2 linked regions of the Notamacropus eugenii genome follow. The protein of the gene in region 1 purifies or fractionates together with the protein of each later gene. This does not show direct contact. Links are inferred from orthologs where the notes say so. Each region holds a gene or a part of one and is shown in the gene's direction. Other genes may lie near its edges. The genes, in order: TCTN2 and TCTN3.

Region 1 (11,674 bases):
TTTCATTAGGAGAGCAAATTGCCTTTTCTCCTCATTCATTTGTTGTAGTCTGGTCAATCTTTGATTCTCTAGTCTCTTCAGTGTCTAGAAGCATTTAAAAAAAATATAATTAATTGCTTATAGGAGCCTCTAGACCAGAGTTGGGGAATCTGTGGCCTCAGGTCACATATGGCCTTCTAGGTCCTCAGGTGCAGCCTTTTGACTGAGTCCAAGTTTTACACAATAAATCCTTTTATTATGGGGATTTGTTCCGTGAAGTTTGGATTCAGTCAGAGGGCCACACTTGAGGACCTAGAAGGCCACATGTGGCCTCAAGGCCATAGGTTCCCCACCCTTGCTCTAGACGGTGAAACCCATAGAAATTGGTTTTCTATCATCAGATCACCTAGCAAGCAAGATTTCCAGTTATCCCTTCCACATTGAGACCTTCCCTATCACATTTTGGATATATCGTGGATTGGCATAAGAAGTTAAATGAGAATTTTGGGGGAGTTTTGTAGAAGCTGCAGATAGCTCTCAAAGGCCAGCAGATGATACAGAAAAAGTTTAGAAATTCAGAAGTGTATAAAATAGATGTATAATATCAATCCAAATCTTACAATGAGACACAGTAAACACTCTATAAGAGAAAAAAGTTAAATTTCATCTCTAGTACAAAGGAAGGGCCAAAGAATTTTACAAGAATTTTCCAGACTGAGATGCCACTCCCCTACTCCCACAATATGGAAGGGATAATTGTGCTTTGTGGAAAACACACAGTGATAAATAATGCTGATAAGAAAGAAACTTAATCTATTTGGGAAGAGTTATTCAGTGGGGTTTCTAAGCTGCCATTGGCCAGGTATTTAAAGTTCTCTTAGCTTTGGAAGAATGATCAGTCCCTTTTCTCAGCATCTTGAAATGTGACTTTCATGTCTTCTACTACTGAAAATGCGCTTACCCACGACCTAGTCACAAAATCCGTTGGCATTTTTTAAAGTCCCTCGTTCTCTTGGATTTCTCTATGGTATTTGGTACTGCTGACAACCTTCAGCTTTGTGGATTCCCTTTTTCCTTGACTTTAGGGCCACCATCTTGATAGTTCACGCTTCTGTGCAAATTTTCTCCTCTACATCCTCACCCATCATGGAAGCATAGATGCTTCTAACCTGTACCTCCAGTCCTTTCTTAAGAAATCCAGACATGCATCTCCAGCTTCCTCGAGGGTATCTCCACTTGGATGTCCCTTCAGCATCTTAAAACTGAGCAAAATGGAGCTGCTTCTCCTTTCCCCAAAATACGTTCCTCCTCTCGATTTTACTGTTTCTGTAAGTCACATTACAATCCCCTGGACTCCCAGATTCAAAACCCTAGTAATATCTTTGAGTCTTCCTTTTTCCTCATTTCACAAATCATTTGGCCATCAAGTCCTGTTAATTCCACTGCATCCACCCATTTCTCTCTTTTCACTGGTGCTTTGTAATCAACAACTCTTTTGTTGATTAGCCACATCGGAGTCTTCCATGATCCCATTTTGGGGTTTTCTTTGCCATTTCCTTCTCCAGCTCATTTTACAGATGAGGAAACTGAGGCAAACAAGTGACTTGCTCAGGGTCACCCAGCTAGTAAGTATCTGAGACTAAATGATTTGAACTCAGATCCTCCTGACTCCAGGGTCAGCAGTCTATCCACTTCACCATGCTATTAAGGGCCTCTTATGGTATATAGCCTTCTAACAAGTCTTGTCTTCATTCTGTCTTTTCCATGATTCATCTTTCTGACTATGGCCAGATGAACCTTTCTAATCATCCTTACTATCTGCTCTGAAACCCTTAGTGGTTCTCCATTGGCTCCCATGTACATTTCAAACTCTTTTGCTTGACATTCAAGGACTTTAACAATATGGTGCCACCCTCCCTTTCTAGCCTCATCTACTATTTCTTCCCTGTGCCTGTCAGTCAAGGTAGACACTGAACCCACCCTGTGCACAGAGGAAGGAAAGCTCCCCCCCCCACACCCCTTGCAGAGTTACCTTTGCCAGGAATGCCTTTTTGCCCATCTTTTACAGCCTAACAGATCATTTCTTCCATGAAACTTTCCGGATCTCTTCAGTCAACATCTTTCCCCATTCTTTACCCATGCCCTCAACATCCTAGCATCTCACAAAGCACCTTGTTTCCTGCTTTTATAATGTAGTTGTCATACAGTATAATCATGTATCCATATGTTATAGACTCTCTACTAGGAAGAAAAGAAACACGCTTATAAAGTCCCCAGTTTGTGTCAGGCACCATACTAAGTGCTTTATAATATTTTATCTCATTTAACCATCACAGCAACCTTGGGAGGTAGGTGCTATTATGATCTCCCTATTAGAGATGAGGAAATGCAAACAGGTTAAATAACTTGCTCAGGGTCACACAACTAGTAGGTATATGAGGCTACATTTGAACGTGGGTCTTCCCAACTCCAGGCTTACCACCTCGATGCCTCTAGCTTGCTCCCTTCCTATTAGAGTACATTCCTTCAAGGCTGGAAGTATCCCTTATCTGGATTGTTTAAGCACACAGTTGTGTATTAGTTTACTGGGGCAAGAAATATAACATTAAGATAAAAACCTATTTCACTTAATTTACTGAGCAGGATAAATCTTCATCCATGAACTCCAAAATGGTTAATATTGCTTTGAGAAGGATGAGACCACGTTTCATCACCTGTTTCTGTGCCTTTGCATAGGCTTGTCCCCCAGACCTAGAATGGATTCCAATAATAAAAATAATAGCATTTATATAGCTTTAAGGTTTGTAAAGTGTGCTCTCTCTTTATTGTATGTATGTATGTATATACACATATATAGACACACACACACACGTATATATATATATATAATTTTATCCTCACCACAACCCTGATAAGTACTATTGCGACCTCTTTGTACAAATGAGCTATATAAATGCTAGTTATGATTTTGACATTACTGTTATCATTATCATGTACCCAGTAACTGAAATGCTAAGCCCATGTTTTATTTACTGTACTGAATTGTTGTAAAACTTGGGACAACTGCACTATAGGTCATGCATGCATAGCTGAAGAAGGAAGAGTGTTTAACATACGCAGATCCATTGTATAAATTAGAAAACTAATTGATCATTGAAAGACTTTACCTTTTGGGGACCAGCACGTGAAAGCTGACGTTTGTATTTACACATTTTTTGTCTCCCCTCAACAGAATGTTAAGCTACTTGAGGGCAGACACTTTCATTTTTTGTCATAGCCCCCAAACCCAGAGCACATTTGACAAACTCTGGGGTTATTAGTTACTCATTTGAGCCTCATTATAAAGCTGTGAGGTAAGAATTTTTATTCCTGGTTGACAGTTGGGGAGTCAGGCTTCTGAGAGAGTAAGTGGTATGCCCATAGTCATACAACTAACACAATTCTAGTTATTGAGCCTAGATTTTCCTGCCTCTAGCTTCAGGACTCTAGTCATGAAACACACTGTCTCATAGAGACAAATTTAAATTGTTAAAGCATTCCCCAATAGAAAAGTGGTCAAAGGATATGGAAACATATTCTTCAAACAAAGCCGTTCTCAAAAGAAGAATTACAGACTACTAGAAAGCAGATAAAAGGATGCCCCAGATCACCAATAAGAGAAATGAAAATCAAAACAACCCTGAAGTTTCATCTTCCACCCAAAGATGGATAGATGTGAATAGAAAACAACATCACTGGTGTTACAGAAGACAGGCACACTGACATTGTTGGTGGACCTGTTAATTGGCATAAACATCTTGGAAAACCATGTAGAATTATGCAAATAAAGTGACTAAAAACTATTTTCTTTGATCCTGAGATTCCACTGCTAGTCACAGACCCAAGAAAGTAAGTCATTGATGAAAAGAAAGGGTCCATACACAGCAAAATATTTCTAGCATCCCTTTTTGTTCACAGCATAGACTGGAAACAAAGTAGACACCCATTGGTGGGGACTGGTACCCGGTACATGAATATAATATGATTATTATTACATGATATAACATGTAAGGAATGACAATATGAATACGGAGAAGCATAGGAAGACATGAAAGGATGTATGTGTGATGAAATAAACAACATGAAATTCTGTAAACTGTAAAAGAGCCAGAAAACTACAACATTGTAAATGGAAAGGATAATATCCAGAAAACAATTGAGACAGAATATTGCAAAATTACAAAGAATTTTGTAATTCTTGGCTCCAAAGAGGACAGAAGAGATGACAATCTTTTCCCTTCACCCCAGCAGAGGTGGGGGTCCATGGGTTTGGAATATTGCATATAACCTCGGATTTTTTTCAATGTACCAGTTTTGCTTATTTTTCTTTTCCTTTTTTTCCTTGTCTTAAAAATTCTCCAAGGGATGGCTCTCTGGGAAAGACAAGGGGAAGGAATACAGGAGGATTCCTGGATATAGGTATATGCAAAGACTTCATTAAAAAATCTATTTAAAAAACTGCATTAGATTGTAAGCTTGAGGACAAGGATTTTCTTTTGCCTCTTTGTATCCTGTGCTTAGCACAGTTCCTGGCACATAGTAGGTGCTTAGTACATGTTGATTGATTGATTGCTAAAGGAGTTTTGAAGGGTAGCATAGAGATGGTAGAGAGAGTCAGCCTTGGAGACAGAAAGACCTTACTGGCTCCATGACTCCAGGCAACTTGCTTTGGTGCCATACAACTGTATGTGACATACAACTCCAAGTGACATACCAGTTATATGACCCTGAGTCATTTAATTTCTCAGTAGTCTAGGCAACTCTCTAAGACTATATGGGAGAGGGAATTTTGTTAGTGGGAGTTCCAATATCAGTGACATCATAGTCCAGTCCTCCCTCTAAAAGTTTTTTTTAAGATTTTGCCTCCTTCTTTGTATTTTCGAGACTTGCACCATAAACTATATTGGTCCTCTTGGGTCAGTCTTAATACCCCAATCTCTGTATCCATCTTACCCAGAGAAGAGTTTTCTGTTTCTTGAGAAAAGTGTTGGCTACTGCCTTTGATGCTGCCATCAGGTCAGAAAGATAAAGGGAGTAGAAAGGGACATTTCTGTATAAAAAAGAGGCAGGGATCCCTGGCTTGGCATCCATTGTCGATTCTAGATTTATTCCTAGGATTCCAGTCTTTCTTGGTGTTACTAAAGCCCTCCTAGCCCTGTGCAGGCTGTCACAGCTGGCTGAGCAAATGATGAGCATTGAGAGAGTACCTAGTTCCTGCTTGGTTGACTTTGGTTGGAGAATGCCCCCCCATTGGAGCTCACAGTTGCCTCAATCATAAGAGGTCAAGCCAAACACTTTTAATCCTAGAGCAATCACAGGCCAAATTCCTCTTACCAACCAATGTGTTTAGAGGGAAAAGAAAAATCTACTCTGGGTGGGTGTCACCCAGATTTATAGGAATTCCTCCTTTTGTTGGGTTTTGACTGTAACTTAGCTCTCGAGTTTTGACCATGTCCAAGAATGAGGGGCTCCTTATGAGAGAGTAAAGAGAGTGGTGGGGATGGGTGGAGCCAAACATGGCTACCCATAACTTGTCTTAAAGACTGTATCTCCCAATGCCTCCTCTAACCGAATGAAGCAACAGTTGGGCAAAGAAGAGTTACATTCTGATGTAATAACTAAGACATGTCATGCCTTTGGCTAATATTGAAAGAAATGAGCAGCTCCCAACCTAAGGCCTTACATAATCATAATTTACAGCTCATAGGGGTTTATTGATAAATTCTTATATCTGAAGCACTTAGCGCAATTAAGCACATAGTAGGTGCTTAACAAATACATATTGACTTGCCTAAATACAAGGCATTATTAGGCTCTGTATTGTAATAAGTGGCATAGAGGAAAAAGAACTGGTCTTCGAGCTGGGTTCAAAACCTGCCAATGACATGTGCAGACTGTATAACCCTGACCAAGTCATTTAACTTCTCTGTATTCTAAGCAACTCAACAAGACTATACATTGTGGAGAAGTAGCGAGGGATCTCCTCACCTGGGACTTCTCTCTATCAATAAAATCACAGGTTCATTATCCTTTATTATAATAAAAAGTCAGCTGAATTGTTGACTATGGAGACAAGAACCTGTTAAGCACCAGGGATTCTGAGAGAGGGAGTAAGCATTTATACAACTTTTTTTACAGTTTTTTTCAAACGCGTGCGTTGTTGCAAGTCGTTATCTTTTTATCTCATCTTTACGAATATCTCATTTTTATTATTTTTACTTGTTTATATTTGTTATACGTTGTCATATATATCATATACATACATATGAATAGATATTTATTCTATATAAATATACATATAAATCATATGTGACATATCAATATAGTTTAAAATATAACTATATATAGAAGACACATAAGTATGCATATTTGCCAAGAGCTCCGTCCACCAAGCTCCTATGCAACCCACTTAGGGCTTCCCAGGAGGAGGTGGGCGGGGCCGCGAGGTGACGCTAATGGGCGGGGAAGGAAGGCGGGTCCTTTCCGTCGCTTTAGACCAATCGTGGGGCGCGCTCTCTTCGCTTGCAGCTGATTGGCGGTTGCCTAGTCCTGGGCATTCCGTTGACAAGATGGCAGCGGCGGCTGGCCGGGCGCGGCTGACGCCTTTTCCTTTGCGCCCCTAGCTCGTGCCGCCTGCCGGGGATCGCAGAGCCAGGCCCTGGCATCGGTGGGGCAGCGCGGGGAGGCGAGCCGGGAGCCATGGGCCCGGCCGGGCCCTGCCCGCCATCGGCCCCGCAGCTTTGGCTCTTGCTCCTGTTCCCTCTCTGCTTCCCAAGGGCCCTGTGGGGAGACGTTGGTGGGTAGGGGCGGAGCTTCGGGCAGGGGGCGGGGCCTGTGCTATGGGCGGGCTGTGGGCGGGGCTGTGGGCGGGGCTGTGGGCGGGGGAGGGGGCGCTCGAATCCCTACTCAGACCAGCTCTGTGCTGTGTGACCCTGGGCAAGTCACTTCGCCCTCTTTGCCTCAGTTTCCCCATCTGTAAAATGAGCTAGAGAGGAAATGGCAGCCCGTTCCAGTATTTCTGCCAAGAAAACATGGGGTCACAAAGAGTTGGATATAACTGAAAATGTCTCAACAACAGTTATTTTAAGAGATATTTTTAAAGCTCTTTGCAATACCTTAAAGTTCTATAAAAATGTTAGCTATTATTAAAATGAGATATCTTAACACATTTTACGAACTTTAAGACGTTGTATAAATGCTAGCTGTTATTATTCTTTAGAGATAATATTTGTAGAGCGTTTTGCCAACCTATAGAACTGCTCACTATATATTGCTAGCTCTTACTAATGATAATAAGGATTATTAACCTGGAGGGATTATTTGTAAAGTGCTTTGCAAACCTTAAAGCACTGCACGTAGGCCAGGTATCATTATTATTAAAATGAGGTAACATAAAAAGTGCTAAATAACTGCTAACTTTCGAACTAGGCTTTTGTAGCAGCTACCACAGCTGCACCTGCTGAAGCCTTTTTTAGTTTTGGAATAAGAGTGCCTGGGTGACTGACTGTCCGTACCAGGCAATGGGCAACCTCATGTCCCGAGAGTGAGCCATACGGAGTCTGGTGAAAAGAATGCCAGCTCAGAGCAGGGGTTTTAACCACCTCTCTGCCCCAGACTTCTTTGGCACAACCATGTTTTTAAATGCATGGAATAAGATACGTAGGATTGCAAAGGAAACTAATTATATTGAAATAATTACCAATCTATTAAAGAGGCCAATTCACAGAGTCCAAGTAAAGAATCACTGCTCTAGAGTCTCAAGGACCCAGGTCCACATCCACCTGCGATGTTGTTCCCTCTATGAGTCTGGGCAAATCATTTAACTTCCCTGGGCCTCGGGTTTCCTCCACTCTTGATTGAGGAGGCTGGATTAGATAGCTCCTACTGTCCATTCCAGCTCCAGATCTAGGATTCCCTGAAGATATGTGTTCAAATCCTGCTCACACATTTCCTGGCTATGGGATCCTGAGGAGATCCTTGTAGCTTGCAGAGACTAGATGTGGGAAAGGGAGTAAAGTCCCAGGACTAGGCTATTCCCAGCAAGGGGCCACCTCTGCTGCCAGCATTGGAGCAAAGGAAAATCGCCACAACCTACAGTGACCGTCCCCCAGTGCCTGCCTCCTGGGACTCCCCTCTGAGATTCCTTCTCATCTGTTCATCTGTATCTTATATGGTAGAGTAGTTTGCTCTTGTTTTACCCATTAGATTGAGCTCCTTGAGGTCAGGCACTGTTTTTTGCCTTTCTTTGTATCCCCCCCTCCTCTCAGTCCAGTCCCTGGCCCACAATAGGCGCTTAATAAATGTTTGTTATTTATTGACCCTAACCCTGCAGTCCTGCATGCACATGCTTAGGAGGGGTTGCTTGATTCTCATGTTCCATAAAGCTCTAAGTCTCATTTTCAGGGGTTCCTCATGGTCCTTACATGAGTGGTATTAACGCCTGACTCTTCTCTTTGCCAGTTTTTCTCCCTCCTTTCATTCGAATGTTTGATACTTCGGTTAGTGCAGCCTTGGTTGGAGATACTGAGGATGTCAGTGTGAGCCTCGCTGTGTGGGATGGTGAGCTGGGTAAGGAGGCTAAGCAGCTGGCTTTGGGAAAACCTACTGAAAACACAGAGGGCTTCGGGCCCAGTCTGCCCTTGGGGGAAGGGGAATACTCCCTCAGCCTTTGGCTCTCCAAGGTCTGATCCTGTGACTTCCAGAATTGGCAGTCTGGAGAATGGGCAAAGGGGAAGGGGGCTGCTTTCTGCTTCAGAGACAGCTGCAAGGCAAGGTTATGCTCTCTGAGGAGAACGTCCTTAAACCTTCTGAGGGCGTAAAGGTAGAATGAGAACATTCTCTGGTCTTACCTCCTCTTGTTTAGGGATTTTGCCCATTCCTGATTGTGGACTGCAGAATAATGGGACCAGTAACTGGAGTCTGACCGTGACTCCCGATATGGTATGTTCAATGTTAAATCTCTTCGTTTTCTATTTGTTATTCGATTGTTTCAGTTGTTTCAGACTCTCTGTGGGTTTTCGTGGCAGAGATACTGGAGTACTTTACCATTTCCTTCTCCAGCTCATTTGACAGCTGAGGATACTGAGGCAAACAGGGTGAAGGGACTGGTCCAGCTAGGCTGTGTCTGAGGTGACTTCAGGATGGAGCTCTATCCAGTGCACCACCTGCCGCCCTTCGTTTTCCATTTAGGGTCATATCTGTCACCCCCTCCTCAGCAAGCTCCAAGGCTCCCTGTTGCCTCTGGGATAAACTCCAGACTCCTCTGCTACCTTTGTGCTCTGGCTTATTGTCCCTGACTTCTCTTTACTTACTCTGCTTTGCTCCAGCCTGGCCTCCTTCCTCTTCTCAGCTAAGACATGAGCCCCCGACCTGGAAAGTGCTCCTACCTCCCCTCCCTCTCCCAGGTTCCTTAGCTTCCTTTAGGCAGAGCCCAAGTACCACCTCCTCAGTGGAGCCCTCCAGCAAGTTCCTACCATCCAGCTCCTCCCCAGATTACTCTGCATTTACTTTGTGCTTGGCTTTTACTTTCTGATCTCCTCCTTACCCCCAGTAGATTGCAGCCTCCCTAAGGGCAAGAAATGTTTCCCAGCCTCGGTACCTGGTGCTTTGTTGCTAGTTAATGTTTGTTGAGTGAAAAGACTCACTAGTTCAGTTAAAATGGGTGTTACAAGTCAGGCTTCTCTAGAGCCTCTCATTCAGCCTTCTTCAGATGAGCCTGGAATACATGTTCTACAGGGATTAGTATCCCCATTTTGCAGACAAAGCAGCTGAGGTTCAAAAAAATTGAGGGATTGTCTTTTAGTCCCAGTCAGTGAATGTCTGAGGTAGAATTTGAACCCAGGACTCTCCAAGATACCAAGCTGTTGTGACAGACTGTTGCTTGTTCATTCTTCATGGAGATCTCAGTTTTGTTCTTCTTTTATTGTCTCCTTCTAGGATCTGGCCATGGGTGGGAAGTGGGTACAAGAGGGAGAATGGTGAACTTGAACTCGCAAGACCTGAGTTTGAATCACTCCCTGTGTGACCTTCCACAAGTCCCTTTCCCCCTTCCTGGGACTCAGTGTCCTCTGTAAAATGAGGGGATTGATCTCTGTGGATAGCCTCTGAAGGTCCTTCCAGACCTAGATCTGTGGTCCTGGGACAGTGAGGTTTGCTGTGAAGATCCAGGTGTCATGGAAGGAGGGCTAAATGCGAGGCCAGACATGGCATATGCCATTGTGGCACAGTGGGGAGAATGTAGACCTGTCATCTGGCACAGGTCTCAGTTCCAGGAGTCAGTATCTAAGTGACTGGGAGCCTTTTTCCTCCCTTTGAAAATGGGGATAATCCTGGTGCTGCCCACTCTTGCCAAAATTACCTGTGTGACCTTGGGCAAGTCATGTCACTGCTTGGAGCCTTAGCTTCCTTATCTGTAAAACAGGTGGGTTGAGTTAGATGATCAATCCCTAGAGTCCCTTCTAGGATAAAGGCCTGTGCTGTCAGTTATAGAATTTTAAAGCTATAAAAGAGTTTGAGATCCTCAGCTCTTCCCACTTCATTTCTGGCCTAAGCCCAGGACAATGAAGATGTGGAGTACTGGGAGAGGTGGTGGGGAGGTGGGTCTGTGAGGTACCTCGCTTTGGGCATTGGCCCATGATGGCTTCATCTTGAGGATTTCAGCATGGCCAAGTGTAGAGGACGGCTGGGCATGAAGTCAGGGAGGTCCTAGGGTCATGTGGACCATCAGATTGAGGGCTGGAAGGGACCTCTGACACCAGTAAGTCCCACTTTCCCATTTTTCAGATGAAGGAACTGAGACCCAGGGACGTTACCAAAGGGCAGGACTTGAGTCTTAGCTTTGGTGCTTAGTGTCTGGGTGATTTGAAGCCTCTTTCCTTATCTCTAAAAATGGGGATAGTTATGTATAAACTAAGATTGCCTGGGGTCCTAGGAAAGTCACTGACCAGAGTGTTAGAGGCCAGTCTTGCCCTGGGCAAGTCAGTTAGGTTTCTGAGCAATGAGCAGTTTCTTAGGCCTTAGTGATTAAATCCAGGTGGTCCTCTCTATTGGTGGAGGGAAGAAACAAACATGCCAGTAAAATCAGCAGGGGCATCCTTAATGCGTGGGATGTTTGTGATTATAAATGTATTTTCACAGTAAGATGAGAACTAAAGCAAGGATTTTTTCCCCAGATGGGCTCAGAAGTGACCGTAAGATTGAATGGTGATTTACAGGCCTGTGTCTCAGAGACAGATTTCTTCTCTGACTATCCCTGTGTTGTTGAAAGTCTTGTGGTTTCTGCATCTCGCAACTCATTCTGTTTGGCGCACCTACTCATTCAGGTCGAAATCTACCCTAATGCTTCCTTTGCCCAGAATGCATCAGGTAAGTATTTCAATCATGTGCCCAAAGCACCAGGGAAAGCTTTCCCAGCATCATATTTTATTGGTTATTTGCTTTGTGAATTTTAAAAAAACAAGCCAAGTTTGCAAGACTCACACAAGATCCCATTAGAAAATCAACCAGTTTTTCATGTGCGCCTGAGGATAGAGCCCAGGCTTGAAGCTCATAAATAAGGGCATTAGTCAGAATTAGGAGTGATTGAAGACCCCTTTCTAAAAAGCAGTGGGTCAGTTGTAGGGACACCATCATCGCCTTTAATTTCTTAGGTGAAGGA
Region 2 (11,520 bases), on another chromosome or scaffold:
TCATGCTTTTCTTGCATCTCTCTCATTTCTCTTCCCAGTTTTTCCTCCACCTCTCTTATTTGATTTTCAATATCCTTTTTGAGCTCTTCCATGGCCTGAGACCATTGAATATTTATTTTGGATGTTTGGGATACAGAGGCCTTGAGTTTTATGTCTTTCCCTGATGGTAAGCATTGTTCTTCCTCATCTGAAAGGATGGGAGGAGATATCTGTTCACCAAGAAAGTAACCTTCTATGGTCTTATTTTTTTTTCCCCTTTTTTGGGCATTTTCCCAACCAGTTACTTGATTTTTGGATCCTTTGTCAAGAGTAGGTTATACTCTGGGAATCTGTGAGATCTCAGTTCCTCCAAAGTGGCATGATCAAGCGTGTACTGGTCCGGATGCAGAGAGGGATTTTTGTGCCCAGAATCTTAGCAGCTACCTCTCCACAGCCTCCTGGCCTCCAGTTCCACCAAGTCAGCACTGGGGTCTGATTTTCAGATAAGTTGGATGGGCAGGGCCCCTATTCAGTGTGAGACAAAGACCAGCTCTCCCAGGGCTTCCACCCAGGGCTGAGGTAAGACTCAGCTCTTCAGTGCCCCCAGGGGGTTTTATGCTCCAACAATGGGGTGGTCTACAGGCTGCTGTGCAGCCTCTGTGGCTGCTGCCTGCTGCTGGAGCTATGGGAAGGCCCTTCTCCCTTCCTGGCCAGCTGAAAAACCCCATCACTGACCTTTGGCGCCTGTGGGTTGAGGGATCTGAGGACCCACTGCTGCGACTGGAGATTCCGCCCCCGAGGTGTCCTCCTCCCAGGGTCTTGTTGTGCCAGGTCACATGCAGCCAACGCTGGGCTGGGCTCTGCTCTGGGTCTGGTGGAACCAATGTTTCCCATGGGCCTTTCAGGTCACCCTGGGCTGGAAATCTCCTCCACTCTGTTGTTCTCCACTTCTGCTGCTCCAGAATTTGTTGAGAGTCCCTCTCTACAGGTATTTTGTGAGCTGTGTGGGGAGACCCTGCGTAAGTGTGTCTTTCTAGTCCACCATCTTGGCTCCGCCCTCCCCCCCCCGGATGTTCTCATAGACAAATTCAGATGATATTATAGAACATTGCTATGGGTCACTTAATATTATCATATTTTGCCATTTGTATTACTTCAATACTGCCAACATCTCCTAACTTAGCCAGGCTTAAAGTACATCAGAAACTATTCTTCAGTGACAGTATCCATGGAATAAACTGCCTACTGCAGAAACTATGCATTTTGAGGACCCCTATAGCTCAAAAGTTAATTTCTGGCAATGAGCACAAGAATGATTATGAGAATCCCAAGATTTCAGTGAACTTCAATTTTGTAATCTACCCTGACCTTTTACCCAGAGTAAAGCGTATCCAAAGATGGTCATAAATAGAAAAATATCTTTTCATTCAGTACCAGTGCTCCAGTGAGCAATATTATCATCAGCTTTATTAATAAGATTAACATATACATATATATGATCATGTCTAATATTGTTGATTTTTATGTTAATATCAGAAAGTCGCATTGAAGAGCTAGAGGCCTTACTTAACTAATCAGATGCTTTCAGCTACAAATGTTGCTCTAAAAGCCAGAAGTTCATGCAGTATGTGTGATATAGCAGAAATGATAGAAAAAAATTCCTAGAAAAAAATATTTATTTCAAGTATTAGTCACACTGTTGAAATGCTCACCCAACATTAATCATTTGTTATTCAGTAGAAAATAGACCATCATAGCAAATGCCCCCAAATTGCTTCATTTGCTTAGAACTGGTTAAAAACCAAATATTTAGAAAAATCAGCAAATGTGTATTTGTGTATGGGTAGGCCTTATTTAACATGTGCAACTTTGTCCTCTACTAATTATTTCCATAGGCACTACAGTTACTTGCATAAATAACAGCAAATAGCATCTGACAGATACTAAAATTAAGACTAAGTACAATATTGCAAAAAGCCTACTACTGGTACATGTGCTGGTGCACTGTTTGATGCACATAAAACCAATTCTAATCAAAGCCTTTTGGGGCACTGAATGGAATTTACTTTGCCTTTGTTGGTTCTCCCTCTAACCAGCACACCCTAACTTTTTGTTTATAGGTGATACTCCTTTAAAAAATCTTTTAACATTGATGGTAACGGGAGACCATCAGTCCCATCTTATGTAGTGCACCTACAGATTTCCATATGGCATGTACACTGTAAGAAAAGTCCTATTTAGTGATCTAGTAAGCAAGAATTCAAAAAACATGCAACAACTTGGAACTTCATAATGTTCTAGAAGCCCTGTTACGGTGGAATGAAACACTCAGGGATCAGGGACATTGAAGCTAAAATTGTACTCCCACTGCTTGTTGCATGTGTGTAGGCATTGGTTCTATAAAAGGAAGACATAGTCCTGTTGCTCAGAGTCCCTGAGTGAGAAAGTGCCTTTGGGCTTCCCTTGGAGGAGGGCTTCCTTTCATAAGGGTCCATCAGTCTCCAGGCCTATTCAATGAATGGGCATTACCTCACCCTAAGTGAGTACCTAATAGGCCTTGGCCTAAAGGGGACAAGGTCTCCCATTGCATCCTGGGCCTTCTCCAGTCATCTTGATGAATATCTGGTCACTGGATTCAGATGTGTCAGGAGGAGAAAGTAAGGCTGGTGACCTTACATAGCCCTCTGTCATTCAAATCAAAGTCAACTGCAAGTCATGTCATCATATCTCTGATGGTATGGTCTTCTTCAGCAATGAAGGACGAACACAACAACAAAAAGCAGGAAGAGACTTGGGTTTAACCCCAAGTCTAGTCACTATTTCTCTAAATGATCTTGAGCAATTCACTTCACTTCTATGGAATGCTGTTTCTTTATCTGTAAAATGAAAAGGCTTGACAAAGAAATCAAAGAGAATAGAAAAGATCTCATAAGTACAAAAATATTTATAACAATTCCTTTTATAGTGGCAAAGGATTTGAAAATCCAAGGGCATTTGTCAGCTGGACAATGGCTGAACGAATTATTTCATATCAATGTAATGGAATATCGTGTTGTGAGAAATGACGAGACTTTTCAGAGAAATCTCAGAAGAACTGGATGAACTAATGCAGAGTGAAGTGAGTAGAACCAGGAGAGCAACCTTCACTATAACAACAACAATGTAAAAATGAACAATTTTGAAAGAACGTTGATTAACTCAATGACCAGTCATGATTCAAGAGAATCACTAATGAAGAATACTAGATTAGAGAGATGACAGACTAAATATATAGAATGAGACACATTTTTTGGACATGGACAATATGAAAATGTGTTTTGCTTGACTATGCATATTTTTATGGGTTTTTTTTTCCTTTTTTCTTAGGGGGAGGAGGAAGGTGAGTAGAAAAAATGTTTTATAATTTTTCAAAATAAAAATGAAAGGGCTGAAGTGGATTTCTATAATGTCTCTGTCTGTTCTGGCAGTTTAGAAACCACAACTAACTCTAACACATACAACTATCCTCTCATTTAAGACACATATTTCCTCAGTATAGAACCAAGGCAAGGTGATCATAGATTTACTCCAGGGCACTGAAATTTTTAGGGTGTGCAATAACATTTGGACTTCTTTGGGAGCATAAAAACAAATATATTTAGCACCTAATTAGCAAGAACAATTGAGAAGCTACCTATTTTCCTCTTTACTACTATATTCCTTAATCTAAAACTTCCCTGCTCCCCAACATAACTTTCCCATGCAGCAACTCATTGTGGCAATTCATCATGTTGCCCTATTCCACCATACCCCCTTAAATGAAATTTTTTAAAAGGCATAATACTATCCTGGCTCCAGTGTAGATACATCCAGACAACCCTCTTTACAAAAGCTTAATTGAAGGGTGTGCTTCACGCAACTTGCCCTGAGTGACAAAATTGCTAGTTACAACCTTGTCTCAGCATTACAGGTTATTGTGCTATGATATTGTGGACTACTTCATACATGCTCTCCAGTGCTACATATAACTCTGTTTTTATGATGATATGTTCAGTTCAATGTCATTTCCACTTTTATTTCTACCACATGCTTGAAATGCTTCTTAGTCAATATGCTCTGATACATCACTTATATGCTAACACTGCATGTTTGTTTTTCAAGTCAGGACAACAAGCATTTATTTCACACTTACTATGTGACAGGCTCCATGTAGAGTACGACCTGCTTTTCAACCTTGTTTTGGTAAATATCATCAAGCCAGTCCTGTTTGCATTGTTTTATCTGCAGATGTCTTCTATAGCCTTCAATGCATTGCTAACATAGCTATTTTCACTAGAAGTCCCAAAACTGAGAATTCCAGAAGGATTATGGAGCTTTTAATTCTCTCATTGAAATACTAGGACGATTTGGATCCATTTTTTAAAAAAAATTGCAACTTACCAGGTGATCATTAACTTTGCATTAGATGTTTTGCATTGTTTTAATAATATGTTTTTGGTTCTTTTGATCAGCAATATTTATCAAATGGAGTTGATTATTCAGATAGTATGTCTGTGATTGTTTCCCTTTATTTTGTAGGGAGAATATGGTGGTGATGACCATGACCTAAGTTCCACTGAAAATGAATATGCTAATATAGATTAAGACCAAGTAAGACACAGGAAGGTAAAGTTTATTTTTGTTCACTTCCAAATCCTACTACATATGGTACCCTTCCCCCATGGTTTCCACATGCCTACTATGAGGATAAACTTTCTGGCTGCTGAATGGAGCAATGATAATAGTGATAAAACACTTCTCTTACAGATGTGTTCTGATGCATCTTGGAAATTTTGGAAGCATAGAGACCATATATCTGATTTCAAAATTGTAGTCTACTAGGTAATTATCTGAAGAAGGAAGAAAACCCTAAGAGAAAATAGCTTTACATGTTTCATGTTTTATTGTTCAAATCCTGCTCAATGTTTAGTTCTTAGATTTAGTGCCATGAAAGGAAGAGAAATTCCATTTAAACACTAGAATACAGCCTTCTTGAAAAGAGAGAGGCAAGTCTATCATCCTGAAGCTGGAGGCACAACCTGAGACTACTGGTACTATTGTAAGCAGTTACAAGTAGGAAAATTCAGAGAATGTGGCGTTTCTGAAATCAAGGGAGGAGAGGGTACAGTAGTAAGAACTGGTTCACAATATCAAATGCTGCAGAGAGGTCAAGGAAGTTGAATTGTGATAAAAAAGGACATTGGGTTCAGTGACTAGGAAGTCATTAGTGATCTAGTTTTAAAAGTATAGAGAAAATGGAAGATAGATTGCAAAGGGCAGAGAAGAGAGTGATCGGTAAGAAAGTGTTTTTCTAGTACAGACAATTAATCACATCTAATAGTATCTATATTGCTGCCTTGAAGAGATTAGACCTAATTATGCAAGACAGAAGTGGGTAACTCTCCCAACCTAATTCATTTGACCAGTGACTAGTTTTCTAAAATTAGGCATCCATTAATCCTGGCCTCTATCATTAGGATTAATAATAATAACTGACATTTATATGGAACATTTATAGTCAACAAATACACTTGTGCCCACATCTGAAAGTTCCCAATTGCCTAAGTGACTTACTCTGGAAAGATTCTCTCAGTTAAGTTTTAGTGGATCCTAAGTAGATATACATACTATAAGAGCTACAGGACTCAGAGTGGAAGGAATCTCAGAGACCATCTCTTCTAAAATGGTACCCACATCATGGATCTCCTGTACAACACTTTCCCACTAGTCATCCAGTCTAAATTTGAAGACCTACTGGTGACAAGTTTATTGCTCCCTAGTCTTCATTTAGAGAGTTCTAATTGTTGGAGGGAAGGTAGAAGTTTGGATAAAGGCTCATCAGGTTGGGATTGGGGTAGGTTTAGTTGGACCAGCAAGTAGAAGATATTGCAATCCGCTTAGGTGAAGAGTGCAGAGGGCTGCAGAGAGGGGAACCTGGGTAGTTAAAAGATGACTGTCTTTTTACCTCTCCTTCTCCCTCTTTATTTTCCTACTTACCTCTCAATTCTTTCCTTGCATCCAACCACTTTTCTCACCCAAAAGTACCTGTCCCTCCTCTTCTTTCCATCTTTTCTTCTTCTCTTTTCTTTTAACCAGCCAGCTATGGAACTGATGGTTTCAACTGACACCCTTTATTTATTGAGTGGACGCTTATGTTTTAATTTTAGCAGCTGGAGAGCTGGATTTTTTAAAGATTTTTCCTGTGGAATGTGGTTATGGGGGTGGCCCTTTTTTCCATGGGATGATTGACTTTTGAGCAAACTGGACTGAAGTGAAACCAAGATGCCCAGATGTCTTCAGCCTCATTCTCTCAGTCCAGTGGCAAGACCAGTACCAGCCTGGGATGCAGGGAATGTCCTTGGCACCTTCAGTATCCACAGTGACCTTCTTCAGGCTGCTGGAGCAAGTTGACCTCATCAGCCCATTCCTGGGAAACCCAAGCTTCCCAATACATTTGTATCCTCGGTGTCCAGCACACTACCTGGTAAGCAGCAGGTGCTTAATAAAAGCTTATGGACAGATTTCTCATTTTTTTAAAAAGTGGAACTTTCCACTCACTTCTCTTACAGATGTCTGTGACCATCAATTTGGTTTTTCTTCCTTCCTCCCCTCCTAAGTTTATGGCTCTAAAAAGTCAACGCTCTAGCTCAGGCGGGTCCCTTTCTCCTGGAAGTCGCTCCTCCTCCTCCTAAACGCCAGGGGGCACTGCAGCTTTCTAATGGAAGGTATTCCAGTCAGCATCGCAGTCTCACTGACCGGCCGCACAGGCCCATCTAGCGGAAGGGCTGCGTAACTGCACCGGCTCTCCGAGAACTCAGTAACCCGAACGTTGCCAGAGCAAAATCGCGGCGCGCAACCACCGCGATTTCTATTGGTGAGTGCTCTGCCAATAATCCCAAATCTCGAATAAGCGAGCGTCTACGGGATGAGGTCACACGTACTGCGTCTCCCGCCCTCCTCAAGCCCCGCCCCCCGCCGGTGCCATAGCAACCACGCGCCAGGCGACGGCGGGCCCTTCAGTTCTCGGGGCTGTGGAGGGCTTGGGGGCCGCAGACGCTTCATGGCCCCGGCGCCCCTCGAGCTGCTGGTGCTCCCCTGCTTCCTCCTGGCGGGGGGCGCCAGGGCCCAGACTGAACTCCCGCCCCGCGGAGGAGCTGTCTCCACGGCGGGAATAGAGCCTCCCGACGCCATGACGCCGGGGCTTCTCGTGGAGGAGACGACGCCGGGGGTCCTCCTGGAGGAGACGACGCCGGGGCTTCTCCCGGAGACGACGCTGGAGGTTTTCCTGGAGGAGACGACGCCGGGGATTTACCCCGAGTTCCTGGACTTGACCCCGGACCCTTTCGCCACGGAAGCTGTGGAAGATGGGCACCAGCTCTGGTCTCAGTTCCGCCTGGCCGGGGTCTGTACGTGTGACCTGACGCCGACCTCGTGCGATGTGAACTGCTGCTGTGACCGGGAGTGCTACGTGAGCGGGCCCAAGACGCTGTTCTCCTTCTGCCTCCCGGGGAGCTACCGGTGAGCGTGCGGGGGCTACGGGGGAGCGTGCGGGGGCTAGGGGGAGCGTGCGGGGGCTAGGGGGGAGCGTGCGGGGGCTAGGGGGGAGCGTGCGGGGGCCAGGGGGGAGCGTGCGGGCGCCAGGGGGGAGCGTGCGGGGGCTACGGGGGAGCGTGCGGGGGCTAGGGGGGAGCGTGCGGGGAGCTACGGGGGAGCGTGCGGGGAGCTACGGGGGAGCGTGCGGGGGCTACGGGGGAGCGTGCGGGGAGCTGGGGGGAGCGTGCGGGGGCTAGGGGGGAGCGTGCGGGGGCTACGGGGGAGCGTGCGGGGAGCTGGGGGGAGCGTGCGGGGGCTAGGGGGGAGCGTGCGGGGAGCTACGGGGAACTAGGGGGGAGCGTGCGGGGGCTAGGGGGGAGCGTGCGGGGAGCTGGGGGGAGCGTGCGGGGGCTAGGGGGGAGCGTGCGGGGAGCGTGCGGGGAGCTACGGGGGAGCGTGCGGGGGCTAGGGGGGAGCGTGCGGGGAGCTACGGGGAACTAGGGGGGAGCGTGCGGGGGCTAGGGGGGAGCGTGCGGGGAGCTACGGGGGAGCGTGCGGGGGCTAGGGGGGAGCGTGCGGGGAGCTACGGGGGAGCGTGCGGGGGCTAGGGGGGAGCGTGCGGGGGCCAGGGGGGAGCGTGCGGGCGCCAGGGGGGAGCGTGCGGGGGCTAGGGGGGAGCGTGTGGGGGCTACGGGGGAGCGTGCGGGGAGCTGGGGGGAGCGTGCGGGGGCTACGGGGGAGCGTGCGGGGAGCTACGGGGAACTAGGGGGGAGCGTGCGGGGAGCTACGGGGGAGCGTGCGGGGGCTACGGGGGAGCTGGGGGGAGCGTGCGGGGGCTACGGGGGAGCGTGCGGGGAGCTACGGGGAACTAGGGGGGAGCGTGCGGGGAGCTACGGGGGAGCGTGCGGGGGCTACGGGGGAGCGTGCGGGGAGCTGGGGGGAGCGTGCGGGGGCCAGGGGGGAGCGTGCGGGGGCCAGGGGGAGCGTGCGGGCGCCGGGGGGGAGCGTGCGGGGGCCGGGGGGGAGCGTGCGGGCGCCGGGGGGGAGCGTGCGGGGAGCTACGGGGGAGCGTGCGGGGGCTAGGGGGGAGCGTGCGGGGGCTAGCGGGGAGCGTGCGGGCGCCGCGCCGCCTCGGAGTCCGCCAAGAGGGGCGAAGGAGGCCCGACCCGGGCGCCCAGCGCTGGGCCTGGCCCACGTAGGTGATGAACAGAGCCGGGTCACAGGGAGTACTGATCCGCCGCGGCTTCACTTGCCGGCGTGGTCCTGATGGCCGGTGCTTTGAGGACGCGTGTGTAGACAGACCTGCTGCCGGGAAGCAGCCCCGCCACCTGTGTGAGTTGGAGCTGGAAGCCCTACCCACCGCGCCTGGCATGGTCAGCCGTCCCGCCTCCGAAATGAGGCACCAGAGGGCCTCTGGTTAAAGCTTCCTGACGTGGCTCTGTTTTCTCGCCACCTCTCCTTTTCCTCATGCCTTTATGGTCTTCACTTCTGCCCCCGTGCTGTTGAAGCTGTTCTCTTAGAGATCACCACGTTGCCATATACAGTGATTGTTTTTCATGTCTTATTCCGACCATCCCTTGCTATTGGAAGATCTTTCCTCCCTTGGTTTTAGACATGCATCACTCAATAAATATTAAGCACCTACTCTGTACTGTGTACATTAGCGCAAAAAGTTAAACAGTCCCTAGTCATAAGATGTTTCCTTTTTAATGGGAGAGGTAAGTTCACGTAAAAATATATACAGCATAAATAAATGTGTGTGTGTATAGGCAAAGTAATTTAATACAAAGGAGTGTAGAAGTTGGAGATATCAGGAAGAAAGGCTTTATGCAGATGGTGCCACAGTTATATTTTAAAGGAAGAGAAAGACTGGTGGAGGGAGGTAGAAAGGGAGAACATTCCAGACCCAAAGTGTGAGTGAGGAGCAGAGAGTGGGCGTGTAAGAAGGGAAGTTATAGCCACTGAGACTTAAAAGGTAGGTTGGAGCCAGATTGTGTAAGTCTTTAAAAAGACTGAAGAGTTTATATTATATTGTAGAGGCAATTGGAAGCCATTGGAGTTGGTGAGTAGGTGAGTCAGGTGGTTGGTGATACTTGGGGCTAAGGAAATCACTTTGGCAGCAGAGTACTAGAAGACCATTTAGGAGACCTTGCCATTATCTAGGGGAGGCAATGAGCACCTGAACTAAAGTGTTGGGATGTTGAGAGGGTAGAAATAATCAGATTTGGCCACTGATTAGGTATGTGGGGTGGAGTTGAGTAAGGAGTCCAGGATGATAGCAAAGTGATGGACCTGGGACACTGACACATCATGCTCTTAGGGTTCTCCTGCCTCTCAAATGACTTTCTATGTCTCCTTTGTTGATTCCTGTCTTCTTTCCATCTTGGCTACATCCCAAGGTTGTTATCATGGTCTTCTCTTATCTCTTTTCACCCTCTCCCTTGGCATCTCATTCGGTTCCATGGCTTCAACTGCCACCTTTATGAGGATGATTCCCAAATATTTATCTTTTCTGAGATCTAGGCTCACATTTCCCTTGGCCTACATTCATCCAAATGTGTGAATGTTACCTGACTTCATTATGATTCTAACTGTGGTACCATCGTTCACCCAGCCTTCCTTGTTCATGCTTCATGTAAGACTTGGGAATGTTCTGAGGATGTACTTCTCACACTTACATTGTTGTAATTATTGTATGTATTATTTTCCTGGCTCTGCAAAGGTCATTCTGCATCCTCTAAATGTTACAATGCTTCTCTTATTTATCATTTTTTACAGTACAGTTATACTGCATTACATTCATGCACCACAATTTATTTAGTCAGTGATCTGTGTAATGTCCTCCCAGCTGACAGTGATGCCTCAAATTTTTCATCTGAGTCTTGCTCTATTATATTCCACCTTCTATCTCATACTTGTTTACGTCAGCTCTTTTCCCAACTTGTCTAATAGATTGTAAGCACAGCTATGTTTTTTACCTTTATATTCCCAGCATCAGAAGATAAAAGGTACTAAAGCAGTGTGTTTGAAAATTAATTTAAACATGAGATTTGTGCTATTTTTATCTTGTTAGATGTGTTTGCTTTGAAATTTTAGAATTCTGTACAGATACTTAGAATACAGTTTTCCTCTTAGTTATGAAGATTACTGCCTTGAAGTGGAATAATCTACTTTAAAGTTTCACACTCTTTTATGTCTTCGCAGGGCAATAGAATGGAAATGTGTAGACTCTACCGTTATTTTCCAAAGCAATGCCCCATTTTATTCAAGTATTTTGGAGATGCCAGATGAGGGTCAACAATTTTGTGTTCAGCTGAGAAACCGTGAGTTGAAAACATTCTCTTCTTACTTTGTAACGCATATGGGTGCTGGAATTATTTCTGACTGACTTTTGGATTGCTTCCTGTTTAAAAAAAAAATTCTCTGTATTATCCACCCTTTTTCTCAGCAAACTAACCTTTTATCTTCTCTCTCTTCTTCTCCTGCCCCAACATTTATTTCCCATGCGTCAAGAGTCTTGATAAATAGTTTAAAACTTTTAAGATCTTTAACTGACGCTGGAGGCACATTTAACTGTTTTAATGAATCTTCCATTAGCTATATAACCACAAGAAGATCTGTGCAAAAATGAAATGATTGTGTAACTGAATCTGAGACAATGTTGTATTTATTTATTGCATGTAAATGTTACAGTTAGACCATGCATTTGTCTTTGCAGTATACTGTCATAATTTTAAAATACAGTATACAAAATTAACAGAACTTATGAAATTTCTCAACAAAGCAAAAGTACAGCAGTACTTACATATCTATTTTACACGTTCAAGATCAGTAGATTTTGGCAGAAAGGAGTGAAGTTTTAGAAGTTTTGCTGATACCTTATCTTTAACACCCTGTTTAGTTCCCTGTTGAATGGGGAGCCCTTCCATCAGTTGTTTGAAACTTGGGTTTATTAAATACTGTGCTACATATTTGATTCCTTCTGGGTTT

What was found.
Region 2: the proteins of TCTN2 (region 1) and TCTN3 purify together in Homo sapiens (affinity purification with mass spectrometry; 3 studies listed by BioGRID and IntAct, with this or other methods). This does not show direct contact. The link is inferred for Notamacropus eugenii from reciprocal best matches to the Homo sapiens genes TCTN2 and TCTN3.

Annotation. Positions count from the first base shown.
Region 1 is NC_092875.1:38,953,968-38,965,641, forward strand, and holds the start of TCTN2 (tectonic-2), read left to right. Parts: upstream 1-6,558; 5' UTR 6,559-6,717; coding exon 6,718-6,814; intron 6,815-8,478; coding exon 8,479-8,586; intron 8,587-8,881; coding exon 8,882-8,958; intron 8,959-11,189; coding exon 11,190-11,382; intron 11,383-11,674.
Region 2 is NC_092872.1:212,355,623-212,367,142, reverse strand, and holds the start of TCTN3 (tectonic-3), read left to right. Parts: upstream 1-6,371; 5' UTR 6,372-6,922; coding exon 6,923-7,515; intron 7,516-10,734; coding exon 10,735-10,853; intron 10,854-11,520.